Linked DNA regions of Macaca fascicularis. The protein of the gene in region 1 interacts with the protein of each later gene in a pairwise test. Links are inferred from orthologs where the notes say so. Each region holds a gene or a part of one and is shown on either strand. Other genes may lie near its edges.

What was found.
Region 2: the proteins of RBSN (region 1) and EHD1 interact in binary tests that used the Homo sapiens proteins (3 or more experiments, as listed by UniProt). The link is inferred for Macaca fascicularis from reciprocal best matches to the Homo sapiens genes RBSN and EHD1.

The regions. Positions count from the first base shown.
Region 1 is NC_088376.1:153,360,661-153,371,698, reverse strand, and holds the start of RBSN (rabenosyn-5), read left to right. Parts: upstream 1-5,171; 5' UTR 5,172-5,210; exon of another isoform or gene 5,211-5,372; intron 5,373-6,010; exon of another isoform or gene 6,011-6,166; intron 6,167-7,548; exon of another isoform or gene 7,549-7,724; intron 7,725-7,970; 5' UTR 7,971-8,137; coding exon 8,138-8,285; intron 8,286-11,038. UniProt on the Homo sapiens protein: Rab4/Rab5 effector protein acting in early endocytic membrane fusion and membrane trafficking of recycling endosomes. Required for endosome fusion either homotypically or with clathrin coated vesicles.
Region 2 is NC_088388.1:9,520,967-9,531,235, reverse strand, and holds part of EHD1 (EH domain-containing protein 1), read right to left. Parts: intron 4,256-10,269; coding exon 3,843-4,255; intron 1-3,842. UniProt on the Homo sapiens protein: ATP- and membrane-binding protein that controls membrane reorganization/tubulation upon ATP hydrolysis. In vitro causes vesiculation of endocytic membranes. Acts in early endocytic membrane fusion and membrane trafficking of recycling endosomes.

The DNA of each region.
Region 1 (11,038 bases):
GATTGCACCACTGCACTCTAGCCTGAGTGACAGAGTGAGACCCTGTCTCTCAAAACAAACAAACAAACAACAACAAAAAGACTGCATGCTGACTCTTTTGATTATTCTATGTTGACATGTTGATGGACATTTGAGGTGTCTCTATCTTTTGGCTATTGTGAATAAGATTGCTATGAACATGGGTGTTGGCCTCATTACTTTTTCTTCAATCTGCCCTGCGCACTTCCACATGAGGACTTCGCAGTGGCTGTTCCCTCTGCCTGGAATGCTGTTCTCCAAGGGATCCACATGGCTCACTTTCTTCAAGTCTTTGCTCAAATGGTGCCTTCTCAATGAGGCCTACCCTGACCGCACTATAAGTTCTGCAACCTGGCACTCCTTGTTCTCTTTACTCTGTTTTTTTCTACAGCACTCACCACTTTCTAATGTGCTATATAATATTCTTATTTAGTATATTAATTGTTTAGGATCTGTGTCTCTCCATGAGAATGTCAACTCCCTGAGGGCAAGGATCAATGTCAGTTTTGTTTATCTCAGGCACTCATGTAGGTAGGTGCTTAATACATAGTTTGTTGAATGAACCTAAAATCACAAGCCTAAGTCATTTGCTGAGTTATAGATTTTAAAGCGGCGTCACGAGACGAATGTGTTAGATGTTCTAACATGCCAAACTCTCTTAAATCCCTCAAATACTTAAAATACCATATACACACAGATGTTTCAAATCTGGGTTAAAATTGAGCTTAACTTCTCAACTGGCTGAAAGTGCATATCTCTGAAGATGTAGGTCAGGGAATGAGATCTGAAGCTGCAGACAACCAGCGTGACTTTTTCTCATGACCTGAGGACCATGCTGTGCTCTTGATTCTCCTTCTCCCTGCACATAGGGCCACCGTGCAGGTTGTGTGCAGCATAGTTGGGAGTGGGGTGGGGTGGGGGTAAGTGGATGCTGAAATCCAGTCTGTGCCCCACTTGCCAAATGCAGGGCTCGAGTGCCAGCACAGGGTTGTGTCTGTTGGAGAGAAGGGAGTGGCACCTCTTTCCCATTTGCCATAGGCCCCGATGGGCTGGGAGTGGTCCTGCTTTGTCAAAGAGGATGCCAGCCCACTACCTGCAAATTGGTTGGCTTTGCAGCTCACATCTCCCAAGTCAATTCCATGTTTCCTGATTTTCAGGTTTGTTGAGGCTGTTCCCCCACCCACTATTGGATTTAATGAATCCAGTTGCTATGTGATTCTATTCTGAGTTCTTTTTGTAGACATCCCATCTGGCAAGGCCATGACTCTCAAAGCTATTTCTATGACACCAGATTGGATCCTCATACTCTCATGCTATTGTCTGACTCAGCATGACACAACAGCCAAGGCATCTGAATCACACCACTCTTCCTTTTTCTTTATTTAACAAACATTTACATAGTCCTTCCCCTGTGCCAGGCGCTGTCCTAACACTTTCCAAATATTAAGCTATTTAACCTTCCAATCTAAGAGGTGGGTACTATAATTATCTCATTTTACAGATGAGGAAACCAAAGCTCAGAGAATTTAAGTGACCCGCCCAGGGTTCACATGGCCATAGGTGGCAGGGCTGGGATTCAAACCCAGGTCGACTTTCGCTCCATCTTGGCTTTTTTCTTGTCATTCTTTCCCTCCCTCTTCCTCTTCCTTTCTCCCCTCGTTTTCTCTTCCCTTTCTTCTTTCCTCATTCCCTACTTCCTTCCTGATAGAGCCACAGCAACCGCCACCTGCTTCCCTCGGACACTGCCCAGCCCAGCACACCCTGCCCCCCATCCTCCAGGCAAGGCTCTGCCAGGCTGTCCGTCATCACCCTCATTTCCCTGTGCCAGCAGACAGGGTGTGCCAACCTCAACCCTGTCAACTCGCTGGCTCCGACCACAGCAGCTGGCAGAGGCCTGGAAGCTGGGGCCAGGCCAGCTTGGAGGGCAGTTGGTACTTCGGGAAGTTACATGATGTGCCCAGACCTTCCCCAGTGATGTTTATGTTACCCATATCATAATTCATTTTCTTGCCCAGGGATTTTAATGTGGGCAAGATGGCTTGTGCTGCTTGGGATAAACTTAGACAAATAAGGGGCCAAAAGAAAGTGAGAAGTGAGATAGAGGGATAGAGAGACAGAAAGAAATAGAGAACCCTAAGGCAGGGGGCAAGCGTGAAGAGACCCAGGTGTCCAAGATTCTCTCACTAGAAGTGGCTGCCTACAGTTTTGGGAACAAGGAGGAGTGGCTTGATATTATCCCTCTATGTGTGAATGAACTTCTCTCTGAGTTTCTCAAAGGACTCATGTTCTTCTCCATAACTATGCCTTTGCATATGCGGTTCCCCTGGCCTGGAAGGCCCTTCCTAATCGTTTCTACCCGAGGACCAGGGACCATGCTCACGTGCTGCCCGCTTATGGGAACCCTTTCCTGAATTCCTGCGGGGGACTCTGCTGGTCTCTCCTCTGACACCATAGCATCTGTGTGCACATGCATACTTCTGTTTTGAACTAATTGGCTTACATCCCCTCTCTATGCCCAGTACAGGAGTGGTGGCTGGAGGAGGCTGAGGAGGTACAGGAAGTCTATCAGCATGTCACAGAGGAAGGAAAAGTGGGGATTGTGAAAGCCTCAAGGCAAGGTGACTCTGGGTTCAAGGCTCACCAGCTGGTGACCTTGGGCAAGTCACCTAACCTCTCTGTGCCTCAGCTTCCCTTCTATAAAATGGGAATAATATTACATTTTGTACAGTTTCTACATCATTGAGTTGTGTGAGAATGAAATGAGTTAAGATATGGAAAGCACATAGAACAGTGTCTGGCGTGTACAAATCCCTCAGTAAATATTAGTCATTATTATTATTATTATTATTATTTTTTTTTTGAGACGGAGTCTGGCTCTGTCGCCCAGGCTGGAGTGCAGTGGCCGGATCTCAGCTCACTGCAAGCCCCGCCCCCCGGGTTCATGCCATTCTCCTGCCTCAGCCTCCCGAGTAGCTGGGACTACAGGCGCCCGCCACCTCGCCCGGCTAATTTTTTTTTTTGTACTTTAGTAGAGACGGGGTTTCACCGTGTTAGCCAGGATGGTCTCGACTCGATCTCCTGACCTTGTGATCCGCCCGTCTCGGCCTCCCAAAGTGCTGGGATTACAGGCTTGAGCCACCGCGCCCGGCCCATTATTATTATCAAACTGGAAATAGTCAGAGTTGCCTAAAGGATTAAAGAAAGTACTTTTGATGAAGTGTGAAGCATATAGGAAAGTCTTTGTGATTATCATTAACAATATCAAGAGCAGTGCTCAATCCATTGTGATTTCCAGAATTAACTTACAAGGTGAGGCCACATTGCTATTGCTTTTTTGAGCAAATGAAATGATGAATATGATGTTTTTTTCTTTTCTTTTCTTTCTTTATTTTTTTCTTTTTTTTTTTTTTTTGAGGCGGAGTTTCACTTTGTCACCCAGGTTGGAGTGCAGTGGTATGATCTCAGCTCCCTGCAATCTCCGCCTCCCAGGTTCAAGCGATTCTCCTGCCTCAACCTCCTGAGTAGCTGGGATTACAGGCATGCGACACCATACCCGGCTAATGTTTTATATTTTGGTAGAGATGGGGTTTCACCATGTTGGCCAGGCTGGTCTTGAACTCCTGACCTCAAGTTATCTGCCCACCTCGGCCTCCCAAAGTGCTGGGATTACAGGCGTGAGCCACCGGGCCCAACCAAATATGATGTTTTTTTGTAAATGATAAAATGACAAGCAAAAATCGTGATGGTTTAATAAACGTTCATTGCCCGACCCAAAACGTAGTCCTGCCTGTAAGTGTGGCTCGTTCTGGGACCTCTGTGGCCTCAGACTTTCAAGAGGGTGGTTTTACTCCCAAAGTCCTCGTTTTGGGGACCTAAGGCAGAAGCTAGTGATGGACACGGGGAGTTGGGCATGTAGCTTCGCTTCTGTCAGGTTAGGAAACCTCTTCCTTGTCTGTATCAGTAAACAAACAGAAGTCATTATTCGCTTCTGCCGACATTGTAACGTTAAAAAAAATTGACCATCAGATTGAGAGAAAAGGCTAAGTCACTGGCGCCAATTTCTTCTGTACAGATGGGAGAACTCAGGCCAAGAAAGGGGAAAGGACCTGTTCAAAGCCACAAAGTAAGGGCTAGAACGTAGATCTCTAGACCCCCTAGTTCCCTGCCCTTTCACTGGTGATTGCCTTCCAAAAACTCAATGCTCTCCCAATTCGGAGCCCCATGTCCTTAAATGGAAGGTGATGAAGGCGCAGTGCTCCTGTCCAGAGACCAGGTGGGGAAGACTCTTTGGAGGCAGGGAAAGTGAGACGGGCAAAGCCAGTATGCAGGACACCCCCCCTACCGTGCAATTACCTCAATCTTCACAACCCTGTGGGGCGGAGACTATCATTATTATCCCCATTTTACTTCTGTAAAAGAGGGCCAGTAACACTGCAGGGATGTAAACGGAGGCCCAGGATCGTCCAATCGTCCCATCGTTCTCTGCAGCTCTTCCTCCTGGAGCCTGGCCATTGCTAAGGTCCAGAACGTGTGCAGGGCACAAAGCAAATAGGTCTCCGGTACTGGGATGAGGTTTTGACTCTCTATACCCCATGGTACCCAGCACAGCGCAGGCACGGGGTAGGTCCTGGCTGATCAATCGTCCTGCCTTTTGAAAATGCCATCTTTTCCACAGGTTTGGCCATGCTGTACGCCCCCAGGATACACCTTCTCATACCAAGTCTCCACTCTCATGTGGTTCTATTCTAGGACTTTCCACCGCCTCCACGTCCCCTGAATATTTTTTCTGTCTCCAGCTCTCAGAAACTTTGACTCCTTGGCTGCCTTATTCTTTGTGCATATTGGTCAAGAGCCAAAGATCTACCGGCCTCAGCTTTCCCAGCTGTACAATGGGGTGCCGAGCCAGTGGCTGGCTTTGACGCGCTGCTAGATTGGAATCCGAGACATAAGAACCGCACAAAATTACCACGTCCCACCTCCTCTCCCCGCCCCCGTCCCCGCCCTCTTTCGGAAAGCGCCTGCGCAGAAGCCGCCGGACCGCCCTCCACGATTCGAATCCGTATCCGCCCTTTTCGCTGCCTCGAAGACTCGGCGCTCGACAGGCGTTTACTAGCCTGTCTTCCAGTTTCGTCGCCGCCGCAGGCGCACCTGCCGAGTTCCGAGCGACCGATGGAGATGGCGGCCGCGGCTGTGTAAGGGACGGTGGAGGCCCTGGCCCGAGGACGGGACAGGCCTGCGTGTCCGCAGGAGCCCGGCCGGGTACAGAGGGTCAGGCCTAGTCTGAGGGACGGGGACACGACTCCTCCAGAACGGAGATGGGCGGGCCCTGTGGGTGTGGACCGTGTGTGATTGTGGTGGGTGTGACGTGAGAGATGGGAGATGCGGCTTTCAGGCCGTGCGTTTCGCTTGTGTGTGCTTGTGATGATTGGGCCCTGTGCGGTTACGCGGGGCATATACACTTGGGTTTCGTTGTGCAGCTGTGGGGGGAGTGGGTGGGTGCTTGTCTCCCGAGCGGTTGTTTGATTCTCTGGTTGTGTAAAGCTGAAGCGTTTGTGTTCTGAGTTCGTGTAGAGATGTTTGGAGTGTTTTGTGTGGTGTCTGTGCCGTGTGTGACGTTGTCATGTCTGCTCCACGGGGTTGAGTCGTTCGTGTTGTGTGTGGTCATGCGACGTGTGTATAATCGTGTGACGTGGGTTGTGGTTGTGTGCGGTCGTGAGGGCGGGTTGAGTGCGGCTGTGGGATATGTCGTCGATGCGGCATGTGGCGGGGTGACATTCGTGCTGGATGTACGGTTGCAGAACATGTAGGTTTTTGTTTTTTACTTTTTACGTGATTTAAGAGTGCAAGGGGCTTGCGTATGTGTTCAGTTACGGTTGTGGGGTCCGATTCGGTGGTTTCTTTATGGTGTATGCTTAGTTATATGATTTTGGAGTTCATTCATTTGTTCGTTCTTTCATGGAGCTTTATTGTGCTTCTTCATTGTGTGTGCCAGGTACTGTGCTAAACCTTGGGGAGACGGCGAAGGGGAAAACATACAGAGTTTGTGCCCTCCCAGATTTTTCAGTCTTACTTGGTCACTTCACGTATGTACCTGCGGTTATAAATTGAGATGAGTGCTGTGAAGGAGAAGTCCATTCTGATGCTCTGAGTAAGGGGCATTTCTTTGAGGAAGTGAGGTTTGGGTTTGGGCTGAGGCGTGAAGGGTGGTTTTGTGGCATGGATGTGGTGGGCTTTGTGTTTGATTTGTGGTCGTTTGGGGTGAGTGCATGGGAAGAAAGGGTGCTGTCACAGTCAGCATTAGATGAACCACTGGCTGGGGAGGGAAGAGGCCAGACCTAGAGCTACTATATTTCAGTGGAAAATGTATGAAGTCACTGGGTTTCTTAACTAGAGGGGAAAAATAGGGTCCTGGTGTCTCATTTGTTTATTTTCTGAGTTGCTGCCACCCTTCAGCTTTGAGGACCAGGCAGTCCCTCCTCAGTGGTCTTCTACAGTCCATCCAAAGCTGAGGGTCACACACCCCCCCTCACTATATACTGTGGCTTGTAGCCCCAGGTTCTTGGGGAGAAATTTCTCTGCTTTTGTGGAATGGTTTTGTCTCAATTTCTCTTGTGACTGAGAGTCTTGATGAGGTGACATTGGAAGTGACTTTGCCATGGGCCAGTAAGACAGAGAATGTAACTTATTAAGCCCTGAAATGTTTAGACACCAAAGCCTTTTATTTATTTATTTACTTACTTTTTTGAGACAGAGTTTCGCTCTTGTTGCCCAGGCTGGAGTGCAATGGCGTGATGTCAGCTCACTGCAACTTCTGCCTCCTGGGTTCAAGCATTTCTCCTGCCTCAGTCCCCCCACTAGCTAGGATTACAGGCGCCTACTGGCTAATTTTTGTATTTTTAGTAGAGATGGGATTTCACCATGTTGGCCAGGCTGGTCTTGAACCCCTGACCTCAGGTGATCTGCCTGCCTTGGCCTTCCAAAGTGCTGGGATTATAGGCATGAGCCACCATGCCTGGCCAGCCTTTTATTTTTGAAGCAGTGAGAACATCAGGTTTGCTACTTAACTGTCACTTACTGGCTTATAAGATCTGTCAGGGTGCAGTGGCTCACACCTGTAATCTCAGCAGTTTGGGAGGCTCAGGCAGGAGGATTGCTTGAGGCCAGGAGTTAGAGACCCGCCTGGGAAACACAGAAAGAACCTGTTTCTATAAATAATTTAAAAACTAGCTGGGTGTGATGGCACACTTCTGTAGTCCCAGCTTCTTGGGAGGCTGAGGCAGGAGGATCACTTGAATCCAAAAGTCGAGGCTGTTGTGAGCAATTATAGCTCACTAGGTGACAGAGCAAGATGCTGTCTCTTAAAAAAAAAAATCTAGTAAGCCCATTAGAGATAAGTGCTCCACAAATATAAATTTTTTCTTTTTGACTAGTAGGTTTCTAATGTTTCTCTTTAACTGACGTTAGGAATTTTGTTTTTTTTTATGTTTTTATGGGAGATACTATGTCTTCATCTTTGCATTTCTAACACAGGTGTCTTACAAGTATCAAGAACTTAATATATGTGGTTGAATAAACAATCAAAGTAAACAGCATCAAGTAAAAACTTCTGCTTGTTGATAAGTACTTCAGACATTCCCCCAGTGGCTAAAGTGGCATATGAATTACGAAGTTGGGTCATTTGGAATGAATGTAAGAGAATTGCCAAGGTATTATTTGCTTATTTCAAGAATCTGTGTTTCCCACTTAATTGAGTTGTTGTTGTCCAGTGATGTTTTCACGTCTTAGGTTTTGCAGCTTGCTTGGTCTAAGGATTTGAGAAAGAGTTTGTTTTCTCAAACTTGCACTGAACAAACATTAAGTACCCTGTTGAACTGTGAAAAGAATGAAGAAAATACTCAATTGCTACCAGTTTGCCTGAATTGGCTTTTTTCCCTTCTTCTTTTCTTTCTTAGGCTCCTCCTACTCCAGAGAGGAAACCTCATTCAGGGCCATGAGGCTACTTCCTCACCGTCTGTGTGCTACTTAAGCTAATGCTGCGGGAACTATGATTCCTTGGGAGGAATCAAGCTGACTCTTGGCATGAGATCCCTGCCTTCCTAGGGTTGAGAGCGGCACCGCCATGGCTTCTCTGGATGACCCAGGGGAAGTGAGGGAGGGCTTCCTCTGCCCTCTGTGCCTGAAGGATCTGCAGTCTTTCTATCAGCTTCACTCACATTATGAGGAAGAACACTCGGGCGAAGACCGTGATGTCAAAGGGCAAATTAAAAGTAAGAGGCAAGGACCTTGCTGGGTCATATATATACTATATAGGACCTTGCCTATACCCTGCTGTCATTGAGAGCTTTAACTCACGGGATAGTTCTCATCAGCTTCAGTGTTGCCACGGGAATATGATAACAGTAGTAGCAAACAAATGACTAGTGTTTGTCATGTGCCAGGCATTTTCAGAGTCTCCCTGTTTATTTCATTTAATCCTCACAATAACTGTGTGGCTGTGAGCCACATTTTGCACCAGACACAAAGAGATTAGATAACTTATCTAAAACCACTCAGTGAAACACAGTTTGACTTTGAATCTAGTAAATGTAATTGCTGTGATCTGGCTTGACTATTCTCTAACTACTAGCCTAATAGAATTTGGAGAGGAATTTCTTCCTTTGCTATGATGATGGAGGCACATTATGCACCCATTTTACCTGTCACAAATTTAAGCCTACCCACCATCCTTCCTTCCCCAACTGGTATCTTGCCCTCTGTAGCCCAGAAAAAGGAAGGTCGTAGTTGAAAAACAAAAGAAACAATCTGAAAACCTTGGTTTTTGAGCTTCCAAGAGCTCAGATCTGAGAGAGTTGTGGAAAGAATTTTTCAAAGGTAGTTTTGACTATACATATGTTTATTGTATTTCCTGGACATCAAATTCTAACCTCCAGATAAGATGCTTCTCCTCTGGGCGGGCACAGTGGCTTATGTTTCTATTCCCAGCACTTTGGGAGGCCAGTGTGGGTGGATCACTTGAGCTCAGGAGTTCAAGACCAGCCTGGGCAACATCGCGAAACCCACCTCACAAAAAAATTAAAAAAAAAACTAGCCGGATGTGATGGTGCACGCCTGTTGCCCCAGCTACTCAGGAGACTGAGGTAGGAGGATCGCTTGAGCCCAGGGAGGGCAAGGCTGTAGTGAGTGATGATCGTGCCACTGTTGCCTGGGCAACAGAGAGAGAGAGACCCTTTTACACACACACACACACACACACACACACACACACACACACACACACACAACAAAGATGCTGCTCCTCTGGAACTTATTTTTGTAGTTTTCAGCTAACTTGCTTCTCATAGCTGGCAGCATTTCTGAAGGCCATGAGATTAAAAAGTTCTGGATGCTGTATTCACAGTCTTTATTGGGAGGGAAAGAAAGGAATGACCATGTATTTCTAAGTGTGCTTTGGCTTTCTGACAGGTGACTCATATGTACTTTGTAATCACATAGTTGTCCCTAGAGTCCCACTCTATCTCACTTTTCTGTTCAGTAAAAAAGAGTTTCTAAAAGTATAAACAGTTGCAACTTCTATCCAAAAACAACAAAGGCAAACATTTCTGAAATCCTGAGGGCTATGGTGGATGAGGTGGCTTCTGGCTGTAGAGGCTGTAGAGCAGAGCCAAAACTATTAGGAGGGGAAAAAAATGCTGTGCTTTATAGTTTTTAGAGTTTATTTCACAGACATTATTATTTCATCTGACTCTCCTAACAACTCTGCAAGAAGGTGATTGGTCTTATTTTATAGATAGTAAGTGAAGTGAGGCTCAAGAGATGTTGAGTTACTTATCCACGGTCACACAGGAATTGCAGAGCTAGGCCTGGAATGTAGGTCTTCTGTCATCTCTATGTCCAGTGCTGCTGTTTGCATGTGACATCACAGGGTGAGAGGCCCCGTGTTTCAATCACAGCGTGCATTGCAGCTTCCTGGAGGAAATGAAGCAAAAACAAAACTGAAAAACCTGATTATGTAAGTTTCCTTTGCCAACCAAAGGAAGAGCCTCCATCATTTTCAACTAGCTTCCAGTCTTGGTGTCAGCTGAACTAAGTCATATACAATGCCATTGCTAAAACTGGTGATGCCAGTAGGTAGAGAGGTTAGAGAATGTTCCCCGATTCCTTCACTGACCCTTTTTTAAGAGGAAGAGTGTTTAAGGTTATTTAGAGAATACAGATACGGGAATCTATTTAAGGAATACTAAATAGAATGGAAATTTTGTGCCTTGTGAAAGAAACTTGAAAGGATCCTTGGCTGGGCACAGTGACTCACACCTGTAATCCCAGCGCTTTGGGAGGCCATGGCGGGAGGATCGCTTCAGCTTAGGAGTTTGAGAACAGCCTGGGCAACATAGATCTTGTCTGTACCAAAAAAAAAAAAAGAGAAAAAAAAATTTTTTTTTTTAGTTAGCTGGGTATGATGACATGCACTTGTAGTCCTAGCCACTTGGGAGGCTGAAGCAGAAGGATCCCTTGAGCCCAGAAGGTTGAAGCTGCAGTGAGCCATGATTATGCCACTGCACTCCAGCCTGGGCAGCAGAGTGAAACTTTGACTCAAAAACAAAAAACAAAATAAAGTTACTTCAGCCAGGTGCAGTGGCTCATGCCTGTAATTCTAGTACTTTGGGAGGCCAAGGCAGGAGGATTGCTTGAGCCCAGGAGACCAGACTGGGCAACATAGCGAGACCATCTCTACAAAAAAATTATTTAAAAAAATTAGCCAGTCATAGTGGCACGCACTGGTAGTCCCAATTACCCAGGAGGCTGAGGTGGGAGGATCGCTTCAGCTTGGGAGATCAAGGCTGTCACATTCTAGCCTGAGCAACAGAGTGAAACTGTCTCAAAAAAAAGAAAGAAAAGATCCTCTTGGTTTTCCCTTTATCTCCCACCCTGCCTTACCCCCTGCATCTCTACCTCTAGTACTACTAATGATCATATCTTTAGTTAGAAAGGAATTCTTGATTATGTTGCAGTTTTCTGCATT
Region 2 (10,269 bases), on another chromosome or scaffold:
ACCCTGGCCCTAAGTAAGGCTGGGAAATGCTGCCTGGGGCACTTGGCTTCCATGTGGAGGAGCTGGGATTGGAACCCAGGGCTGCTGAAGGTGCCTCACAGCCCATGTTCTTTCTGTTTCTCTGCAAGCCCCCTTCCCCCAAGCTGGGAGCAGGCTTCCTGCAGGGCCCACCAACCTGCATGTCCAAATCCCTGCCGAGTGCTGACGGAGCCCACAGAACTCCAGTGGGCCCGTGCCACACTCCACTCCATCATCACAGCTCAGATGACGAAGGATTCAAAACATCCCACAAAGGCTTCTCCTGGCAGCTGCCAGCTTTATCCAAGCGTCAATACCTTGCTTAGACGTGCCAGTTCAGGGCGGTACCCCCTTCATTTCCCCGCAGCAAGCTGGGAACCTGGCACCCCTCGAGAGCAGCCCAGCCCTCAGATCCCTTGGCCTTGCCAAGTTGTGTCCAGCCACGGAGGGCTGCGGCCAGCCAGCCTCGCTGCCCTTCTCCCCGGCTCCAGCCCATCCACTACCCCACTCAGCCTAAGCCTGTCTGCCCTGGGTGGGGGCCTGGTTGAAAACTGCCTGAGGGAGACAGCCCCGTGCCATGTGGGTCTAGATCTAGGGTCTCCCAGGGACACTGTGGCAGGCAGATCCCAGGCCGGTGGGAGTCACCACAGAAAGCACCATTCACTCCAGGAAAAGGAAGTGGCAGGTGTGAGGCAACACTGGAGGCCACAGAGTTTCCCAGGCGTGGTGACTCAGTGTGCCTAGGGCCTGGCGGTCACACACGGTCTCACAGACAAACAGGCAGGGCTCATGCCCGCCCCTTGTCCTGTCTGTCCTCAAAGGTGGCTGAGCAGGGGAGTTCTCTCTGCCTTGCAAGGAGAGGGCCTCAGTCAGGGCCACACCCACACCCATCAGCTCAGGACGTCCTTTGTCCTTTGAGGCTGGGGTCACTCACCTGGGTTTTTGCATGGGTTCCTCTCTCAAAGCTGACTCCACTCACAGGGAGGCTCCAGAAGGGAGATCTCTAGAAAAACATCCAGCCAGCCGGGCGCGGTGGCTCACGCCTGTAATCCCAGCACTTTGGGAGGCCAAGGCAGGCGGATCACCTAAAGTCAGGAGTTTGAGACCAGCCTGACCAACATGGTGAAACCCCATCTCTACTAAAATATAAAAATTAGCCGGGCGTGGTGGTGGGTGCCTGTAATCCCAGCTACTCAGGAGGCTGAGGCAGGAGAATGGCTTAAGCCTGGGAAGTGGAGGTTGCAGTGAGCCGAGATCGTGCCACTGCACTCCAGCCTTGGTGACAGAGTGAGACTCTGTCTCCAAAAAATCAAAAAATAACATAATAAAATTAAAAATAAGAAAACCACGCAGCCCTGTGTCCTCCAGAGCAGGCGTCTGGCCCATGCCCATGCACACAGCTCACGGAGGTTCAGGCCGGAATGAGAATTCCTCATCTGCAGGTGAGGTGGGGCCCAGGGTACTTGCGACACAAGGGGAGGACAGTGGTGGCAAAGGATGATGGGTCAGTTCTCACTGCTCAGGCCGGGTGGCACCCACATGCCCTCTGACTGTCTGGCCTCGAGACAGAGTGGGTACGAGGGCCACTGTGCTCCACGCCTGCAGAGTCTCCGTGCCTCTGAGCAGGCAGGGGCATGGGCTCCCCAGGAAGTGCCCATCCTCAGTCCTCAGCTATACTCTGGAGATCGGGGGACTGTGACCCTGGCCACAGGCACAGCTGCCACTGAAGCCTTAATGCCCACACAAGGTCTGCCCTGGTACTCCCTGCATGCCACGAGGTGGGGGCAAGCACCCTGCTCTCTGTGCTGTCTTACTGAAGAACTGGGGACGTATCACCAAAGGGCCTGGCTCGGCAGGCAGGACAGTTCCCCAGCCATGCTCTGGCCTGGCCTAGAGATGGGAGCTACAGCAAGGGCCTTTCTTTTAATTTTTTAATTTTTTTTTTAATTTTTAAATTAAATAGAGACAGGGTCTCACTAGATTGCTCAGGCTGGTCTCTAACTCCTGGCCTTAAGGGATCCTCCTGCTTTGGCCTCCCAAAGTGCTGGGATTACATGTGTGAGCCACCATGCCTGGCTGGAGCCTATTTTTTTTCTTTTTTTTTTTTTTTTTGAGACAGTCTTGCTCTGCCACCCAGGCTGAAGGGCAGTGGCACTATCTCGGCTCACTGCAACCTCTGCCTCCTGGGTTCAAGTGATTCTCCTGTCTCAGCCTCCCAAGTAGCTGAGATTACAGGCATGCGCCACCATGCCCGGCTAATTTTTGTATTTTTTTTAGTACAGATGGGGTTTCACCGTGTTGGCCAGGCTGGTCTCGAACTCCTGACCTCAGGTCATCCACCTACCCACCTTGGCCTCCCAAAGTGCTGGGATTACAGGTGTGAGCCACCATGCCTGGCTGGAGCCTATTTCTTAAACAGCCCAACCCTGTACTAAGAGCCTGAAAGAATAGCTAGGTGCCCTGCTAAGATACAAGTGTGGGCTTGGTCACTTTTCAGCTGTTCAGACAATCTGTGTCAAACACTCCTGTCCACGGGGCCAACCCCAACCACAGCCGGGACTGTCACTCTTGGTGACTCGTCTAGGCTGGCTCACAATAGGGTGTTATCCAAAGTCAGACACCCTAAGGGCATGTGTTTGTCATTCTGTGTTGGAAGGGCCCGCCGGTGGCATTAACCTTTGATTTCTGGCCCCAGCCACGCTGGCTCTCACTCAAGTACTTGGTCAGCCACTGAGATTCCAAATCTTTCGGCCATTCAGAGGCTGCTGATAGGTGCCACCGGGCCTGGGCTGCCAGGAGACGTAAGGATGGTCTGCGAGGTCTGCTGGACTGACACCGCCTCAGCGTGACCTTGGCTTCCGTGCCCAGTGCTTCCCAGTCTGTAGGCTGGCACCTCGTCTCCTCACGAGCTGCTTCCTATGGCAGCTTAAGCTTCAGCTCCTGCCAGGCCTCCCCTAGCCCTTCTACTCCACTGGGACAGCCCCTAGCGCCAGCTCCCGCAGCAGCCTGTGCTCACTCCAAGACGACACAAACAACTGATGTTTAGTTTTTGTTTGTGTGCTCTGCTTTCCCCATGAAGGCTGAGGAGTGGATGGGCTGTGTGTCACTCCCCGCCATGTCCCTGGCGTCCAGCACTGTGCTGAGTGCACTTCAGGCCCAGTAAACCCCAGAGGGGTAATCCTGTGGGAGGCTGAGGTGGGCTGATCACCTGAGGTCAGGAGTTTGAGACCAGCCTGGCCAACATGGTGAAACCCTGCCTCTACTAAAAATACAAAAATTAGCTGGGCATAGTGGTGTGTGCCTGTGATCCCAGCTACTCGGGAGGCTAAGGTAGGAGAATCATTCGAACCTGGGAGGTGCAGGTTGCTATGAGCTGAGATCATGCCACTGCACTCCAGCTTGGGCAACAGAGCCAGACTCCGCCTCAAAAACAAAAACAAAAAACCCTAGAGGGAAGCCAACAAGCCTCAGAGCTCTATCCCCCAACACCCCATTTCTGAGGCTGCCTCCTTTGCTTCAGCGGTAACTTCCTGTGTGCTGTTTCTGTGTTGTAAGCATAGTCAAACCCTTCTTGAAAGTAGATGGGGCATAAACCACACACACAACAGGTTTAGAGGGAGGCCGGGTGGAGAATCTTAGTTAAGAGCAGGCTGCACGCGGGTGCTGACCAAAGACTGGTTTCTGCAGAGGGAAACAGCGCAGCACAGGTCCGCCTGTGCAGTGAGCTGGGATGGGTCTCGGGCAATCCCGGGGCCCTGAGTGCCTATCTCAGAGCCCCACGGCCCTGCCTGGCAATAGGCTGCTCCCCTCACCCTGGGGTCTACCTTGGCCAGCCGTGCCCGCTTGATCAGGTCATTGAGCTTCCTGAGGGCGGCGTTTCGGGGCAGAGACTGGATGTCCTTGAAGAGGTCCTGCTCCTCAGCCTCAAAGAGCTTGCGGTTGTCAGGGATGAGGAGCGGGTGGGACCAGAAGGAGCCGATGTAGACCCTGACCACCTCGGGGGTGTTGATGATCTTGCCCAGGGACCACATGAGGGCCCCATACACCCGCATCAGCTGCTGTGTCTCGATCTGGTCTGCCTTGTTTAGCACCACGCGGATCTTGTCCTCATGGTTCTTCAGGGCCTTGATCACTTCTGAGAACTCATCGGAGATGTCCAGCTTGTGGGCGTCGAAGAGCAGGATGATGCGGTCCACACGCTCGGCGAACCACTCCAGGACGGCTGCAAAGTCATAGCCTGCGGGGAAGAGAAGGGAGAGCTCAGGGGTGCCAAGGGACCTGCTGCTCTGATGGCTCTCATCTCCAACCTGGCCTGGTATTTCTCAGCCAGAGATAGTTTTTAAAATTCCTACAGGCCGGGTGCAGTGGCTCACGCCTGTAATCCCAACACTTTGGGAGGCCAAGGTGGGAAGATCACAAGGTCATGAGTTTGAGACCAGCCTGGCCAACATAGCGAAACCCTGTCTCCACTAAAAATACATAAATTAGCCATGCCTGGTGGTACGAGCCTGTAGTCCTAGCCTACTTGGGAGGCTGAGGCAGGAGAATCACTTGAACCCAGGAGGAGGAAGTTGTGGTGAGCTGAGATCGCACCACTGCACTCCAGCCTGTGCAACAGAGCAAGACTCCATCTCTAAATAAAATAAAATAAAAGTCCTAGAAGGGGCCAGGCACAGTGGCTCAAGCCTGTAATCCCAGCATTTTGGGAGGCTGAGGTGGGTAGATCACCTGAGGCCAGGAGTTCGAGACCAGCCTGACCAACATGGTGAAGCCCCATCTCTACTGAGAATACAAAAATTAGCCAGGCGTGGTGGTGGGCACCTGTAATCCCAGCTACTTGGGAGGCTGAGAGAGGAGAATCGCTTGAACTCAGGAGTGCAGTGAGCCAAGACCATGCCACTGCACTCCAGCCTGGGCAAGAAGAGAGAAACTGTCACACAAAAAAAAAAAAAAAGAAAAAAAGGCCGGGCGCGGTGGCTCAAGCCTGTAATCCCAGCACTTTGGGAGGCCGAGATGGGCGGATCACGAGGTCAGGAGATCGAAACCATCCTGGCTAACACGGTGAAACCCCGTCTCTATTAAGAAATACAAAAAACTAGCCGGGCGAGGTGGCGGGCGCCTGTAGTCCCAGCTACTCGGGAGGCTGAGGCCGGAGAATGGTGTGAACCCGGGAGGCGGAGCTTGCAGTGAGCTGAGATCCGGCCACTGCACTCCAGCCTGGGCGACAAAGCCAGACTCCGTCTCAAAAAAAAAAAAAAAAAAAAAAAAAAAAGAAAAGAAAAGAAAAAAGAAAAGGCCAGGCACAGTGGCTCACACCTGTAATCCCAACACTTTGGAAGCCAAGGTGGGTGGATCACAAGGTCAGGAGTTCAAGACCAGCCTGGCCAACATAGTGAAATCCCATCTCTACTAAAAATATAAAAATTAGCCTGGCGTGGTGGTAGGCACCTGTAATCCCAGTTACTCGAGAGGCTGAGGCAGGAGAATTGCTTGAACCTGGGCGGCAGAGGCTGCAGTGAGCTGAGATCACGCCACTGCACTCCAGCCTGGGCGACAGTGCGAGGCTCCATCTCCAAAAAAAAAAAAAAAAAAAAGCTGGGCGTGGTGGCGCATGCCTGTAGTCCTAGCTACTCAGGAGGCTGAGGCAGGAGAATTGCTTGAACCTGGGAGGCAGAGGTTGCAGTGAGCCGAGATCACGCCACTGCACTCCAGCCTGTGTGACAGAGCGAGACTCTGTCTCAAAAAAAAAAAAAAAATTCCTAGAAGGTGCTCATCTAGACAGTACAGCACCCTGAGGGCAGGATTATCTCCCCTATTCCTGCCCCCACCATAACACTCCCAACCCATGTAGCACTTGGCATAAACAGGTGCTAATGCAAAAGTCGTCCCATAGTGCAAGCTCTTAAGGTGGGTCAGACGAGGGCGAGAGTGAGGAGACCCAGCACTGTGCTCAGCACAGCACAGATGGTAGAACATAGACTCCAGTGTTGCCACCTGCCAGCTGTGTGCCCTGGGAAGGCAGTGACAAGACGTGCCTGCAACAGTAACTGCAGCTGCTCCTTGTTCAGTGCTGATGTGCCAGGCTCCCCATTTTGCAGGAATCTCACTTATTTTCTGCAACAAGGGTTGGCAAACTACAGCTCAGGAATCAAACCTGGCCCACCACCTGTTTGTATAAATAAAGTTTTATTGAAACACAGCCATGCTCATTTGTATTATCCATGGCTTCTTTTGTCTAACACAGCAGAGTTCAGTCGTTATGATAGAAACTGCAAAGCTGTGAAAGGTCTGCAAAGCTGGAAGTATTAACTATCCGATCCTTACAGAAAAAGTTTGCTGACCTCTGCTCTACAAGAAGCCCAGGAAATGCCACAAACCACTTCCCTTCCTAGGTCTTAAATACTTCTCCAAAACAAAGTGGTTGGACTGGATAGACTCCAGCTTTAGGCTCTATATTCTTTTTTTAAAAAAATTATATTCTTTTTTTTAGAGACAGGGTCTTGCTCTGTCACCCAGGCTGGAGTGCAGTGGCACAATCCTGGCTCACTGAACCTTGAACTCCTGAGCTCAAGCCATCCTCCCACCTTAGACTCCTGAGTAGCTGAGACTACAGGCATGTGCCACCATGTCTGGCTAATTTTTAAATTTTTATTTTTGTAGGTATGTTCAGCATTATGTCTATGCTGAACTCCTGGGCTCTAAGAGATCCTCCTGACTTGGCCTCCCAAAGTGTTGGGATGACAGGCCTGAGCCACCATGTCTGGATTCTAAACTCTATTCTAGATTGCTTCCCACCAACCCATTATGGCCCAATTAAGGCCCGCCAATTAAAGCAAACTCTGTCGCCTGTGGCAGAGACTGCTAACTGAAATTCCTCCTAAAGGAAGGAACCAGAAATAACTATCTAGTTTCAGCTGGATTCATGGCCTCCCAGCTTGAGATTGCACTTCCCAGCTTCCTTCAGCAGAAATGAACAAGGAAAGGAGCATGAGCCCTTTGTTGTTTTCTCCCTCCTGAGGACTGGGACGCTGATGTGATGGGAGGAGCTGGAGGAAGCACCTTGGGTTCAGAGATGAAAGCTGCATGTTCAGAATGGCCTTGGACTGTTGTTTTTCACATAAACTATCGGCTATCTGACTTAAACCAATGATTTTTGGGTCTCTGTAACAGCGGTTTAATTTAAATCCTACATGACAACTAGGCCTCTTCAAAATATTTCCACTTTAGCCTGGGCAACACAGCAAAATCCCGACTCTGCAAAGGTGGTACCGGCCTGTAGTCCCAGCTACTTGGGAGGCGAAGACAGGAGGATAACCTGAGCCCAGGAGGTTGAGGCTGCAGTGAGCTGTGATCATGCCACTACATTCCAGCCTGGGTGACAGAGTGACACCCTGTCTCAAAAACAAAACAAAACAAAACAAAACAAATCCTCACCTCTTCCTCTGCCCCTAGAGTAAAACCTCTGTCCTTCTCGGTCTAGGAAGAGTAAGGAGTGACAGGCGGGCCATGTGGAAACAAAGGCCCGGAGTCCTTGGGGAGCTTGGGACCCACCCCCGAGGGGCCACGTCCTCTCTGCCTGATTCTGGGCAAGCCTCCACCTCCCTGGCTCAGTCTGCCCACAGGTCCCAGGCCACCCAAATGTAGGCCGGCCCTCTTCAGAAGCACGAAGTACTTCCCAGAGAGCAGTCAGGCTCTGGAAATAAGTGGGAGAAGCCACTCCTGCACACAACAGTCTGACAGTCGCCCAGCTTGGACCCAAACCCGTCCTCACCCCACTGCCCACTCCTGGCATCCCCGTGAAAAACACTCACCACCCTCTCACCCAGCTGGGGATGGACACGGGCGCTCTCTAGACTGAGCGGGATAGAAAAACAGCAGCGAGGTGGGAGCTCCGAGGGAAAAGCAGCAGCTGGACAGGGTCGCCCACGGCGATGGGAGGGCAGCCCTGCCGTACCCCAGCGGGAGCTGCTGCTGACTCCACCACCGCACGGGCTCCCCCTTGGTGGCATCCGCTGCTCCCACCCTGCAAAGCCCTCCAGGGCGAAAGCAGGTCCACAGCCCAGGCTCCCGAGAGGCTGCCTCCATGCACAAGCACGCCAAGATAAACGGCACCACCGGGTGTGCAGAGCCAAGCTCGTTCATGGGATAAACACTCCCGCCGCCCGCCCCGGCCCCAGGCCCAAGCGTGCTTGGCGCCATCTGTGAGCCCAAAGCCACAGGGGTGCGGAGCCCCTCCCCACACCTGGTGCTCCCAGAAGGAACTCAGGCCACTAAGATGGCTCTGCACTTCACTCCCGCCCCCTGCCACTGACTCTGTGACCTGAAGTTCTTTTCTTAAACTTCTCAGTTACTTTGTCCATCTGTGAAATTTAAATACCAATTCCTCGGCCAGCGCTCGGCGCTGCAGGGAGGAGGGCGTGTGGGAGCACTGGGCCTCCAGCCCAGGACCCGGCAGGGACAGCCTTCTCCGCAGGCCGGGGCTGGGGAAGCCAGGGCTCTGTGGGAACAAGGGGACAGCGGCCTGGGACCCATCATCGGTCAAGGACTTTCATCCTTGAGCAAAGTCACCAAAACGTAAGGAAAATCCCAAATCCACAGCTTCAGCCACACAGCCTCGGCAGCCTCTCCACAGGTGATGTGTGACCATTCCCTGCCCCAGCCCAACAGGAAATAGGGCTCTCGGACCAGAAGCAGCCCTGAGGGCCAAGCTTCTCAACAGGGCAGGAGTGCAGGGAAGCCGGGGTCCTGGCCTCCAGCCTGGGCAGGGAGGCCCGGTCAGCCTTCCAGAGGCTTAGGCGAATGGTCGGAGACAGCAGAACTGCCAGGTTCCCTGTGCCCAGAAGGTGTGGAAGGGCATCGCGCCAGAGCACCTCATGCCACCACAGGCTCCTGCTTCCAAAGTACGAGGCCCCGGGCACCCGGACTCCCTGCAGCTGGCTGCGCGCTCCACAGGAGGGGATGCCCAAAGGGTGAAGTCTCAGCAGAAAACCAGAAAGAGAGGCCAAGGGCAACATGAGGGAAGCAGGGGCAGGGAGAGGCCGCCTCTGCCCCTGGAGCCACCAGGCCACACTAGCTGAGCCTGCAGGGCCTGCCTGGGGCCCGCAGCCCACAGCCTTTTATGGCCAGCTCTGGGAACGCAGGTCAGTACTGAAAAGGCGATGACTCAAGGACTGAGCCTCCTCGCTCAGCAAAAAGGGGGCCCAACTTCTCCCCTCGACAAATCATTTGTCTTCAGCCCGCCACAAGCTGAAACTAGAATTCACACAGCTGGGGAGGCTGTGATGCCAAAACTGAGTTCTTGGGAATAAGGGCGCCCTGATGGGCTGTGCTCAGCCCATGTTAGCTTTGGCCTGGGAGTCAGGACGGCGCCTGGGGAGCTGAGGTCACCCTCCCAAACTCCACCCAGCAAGGCCCCACTCCCGCCTCCCCCTGGATGGCTGGGGGACCCTGGGGAAAGAGAGAAAAAAGAGGAGAAGGAAGAGTGAGCACTCCAAAACTCCCTGCCCCAGGTCAAGGAGCCCGGCCCCACCTGCCCCGAAACCCAGTTACTGGCCATCATCTCAAGTTGGACTCAACAGAGGTAAGTCCATTTTTTTGCAGGTGAATAACATTTCCTGTTTATTACAGAAAATGTGCTTTTGCTGTGAGGGAAACACAGTGACCGGCCAGCCACACCCACAGGTGACAAAAAGGACCACAGCACTTGGGCCTGTGCCACGCAGGCATGTGACCAGGTAACTGCAAGCCCCACAAGGCCCTCCGGTGCTCCTTAGCCCACCAGGCCCTCACTGCCCTCAAAGCACCTCACTCAGTCTTAAAGACGCCGGGTTTCAAGAGGTGCCAAAGGCTACCCCGCACAGCAGGAGCACCGAGCCACTCTCTGGATCAGAGCTGGACGGCTGGTGACAAGTACAGAACAGGGCTTGCCAGCACCCCTGGCACTGCCCAAGGCAATAAGCCTTCAGGCTTTGGAACCCACCAAGGGAGGGGCCTTGCTGTTAGCTTGACTAGCTCAGGCCCCGGTGGGAGTGACAGAACTGACACCTAGCAAAAGGACACAGAAAACATGGCCCAAGCTGGTGGGCTGGAGAGAAAGGCCTGCCTGCAGAGGGAATGGTTTTAGTGAGTAAAAGCCAGAGCCCCCTCTGATAAGGGATCATGAGCCACCAGGAAGCTCTGGCTCAGAAAATCCTGGGACCTGGAAGACAGGATGCTAAGTGATGAAATAAGCCTGTCACCTTTTCCAAAGAT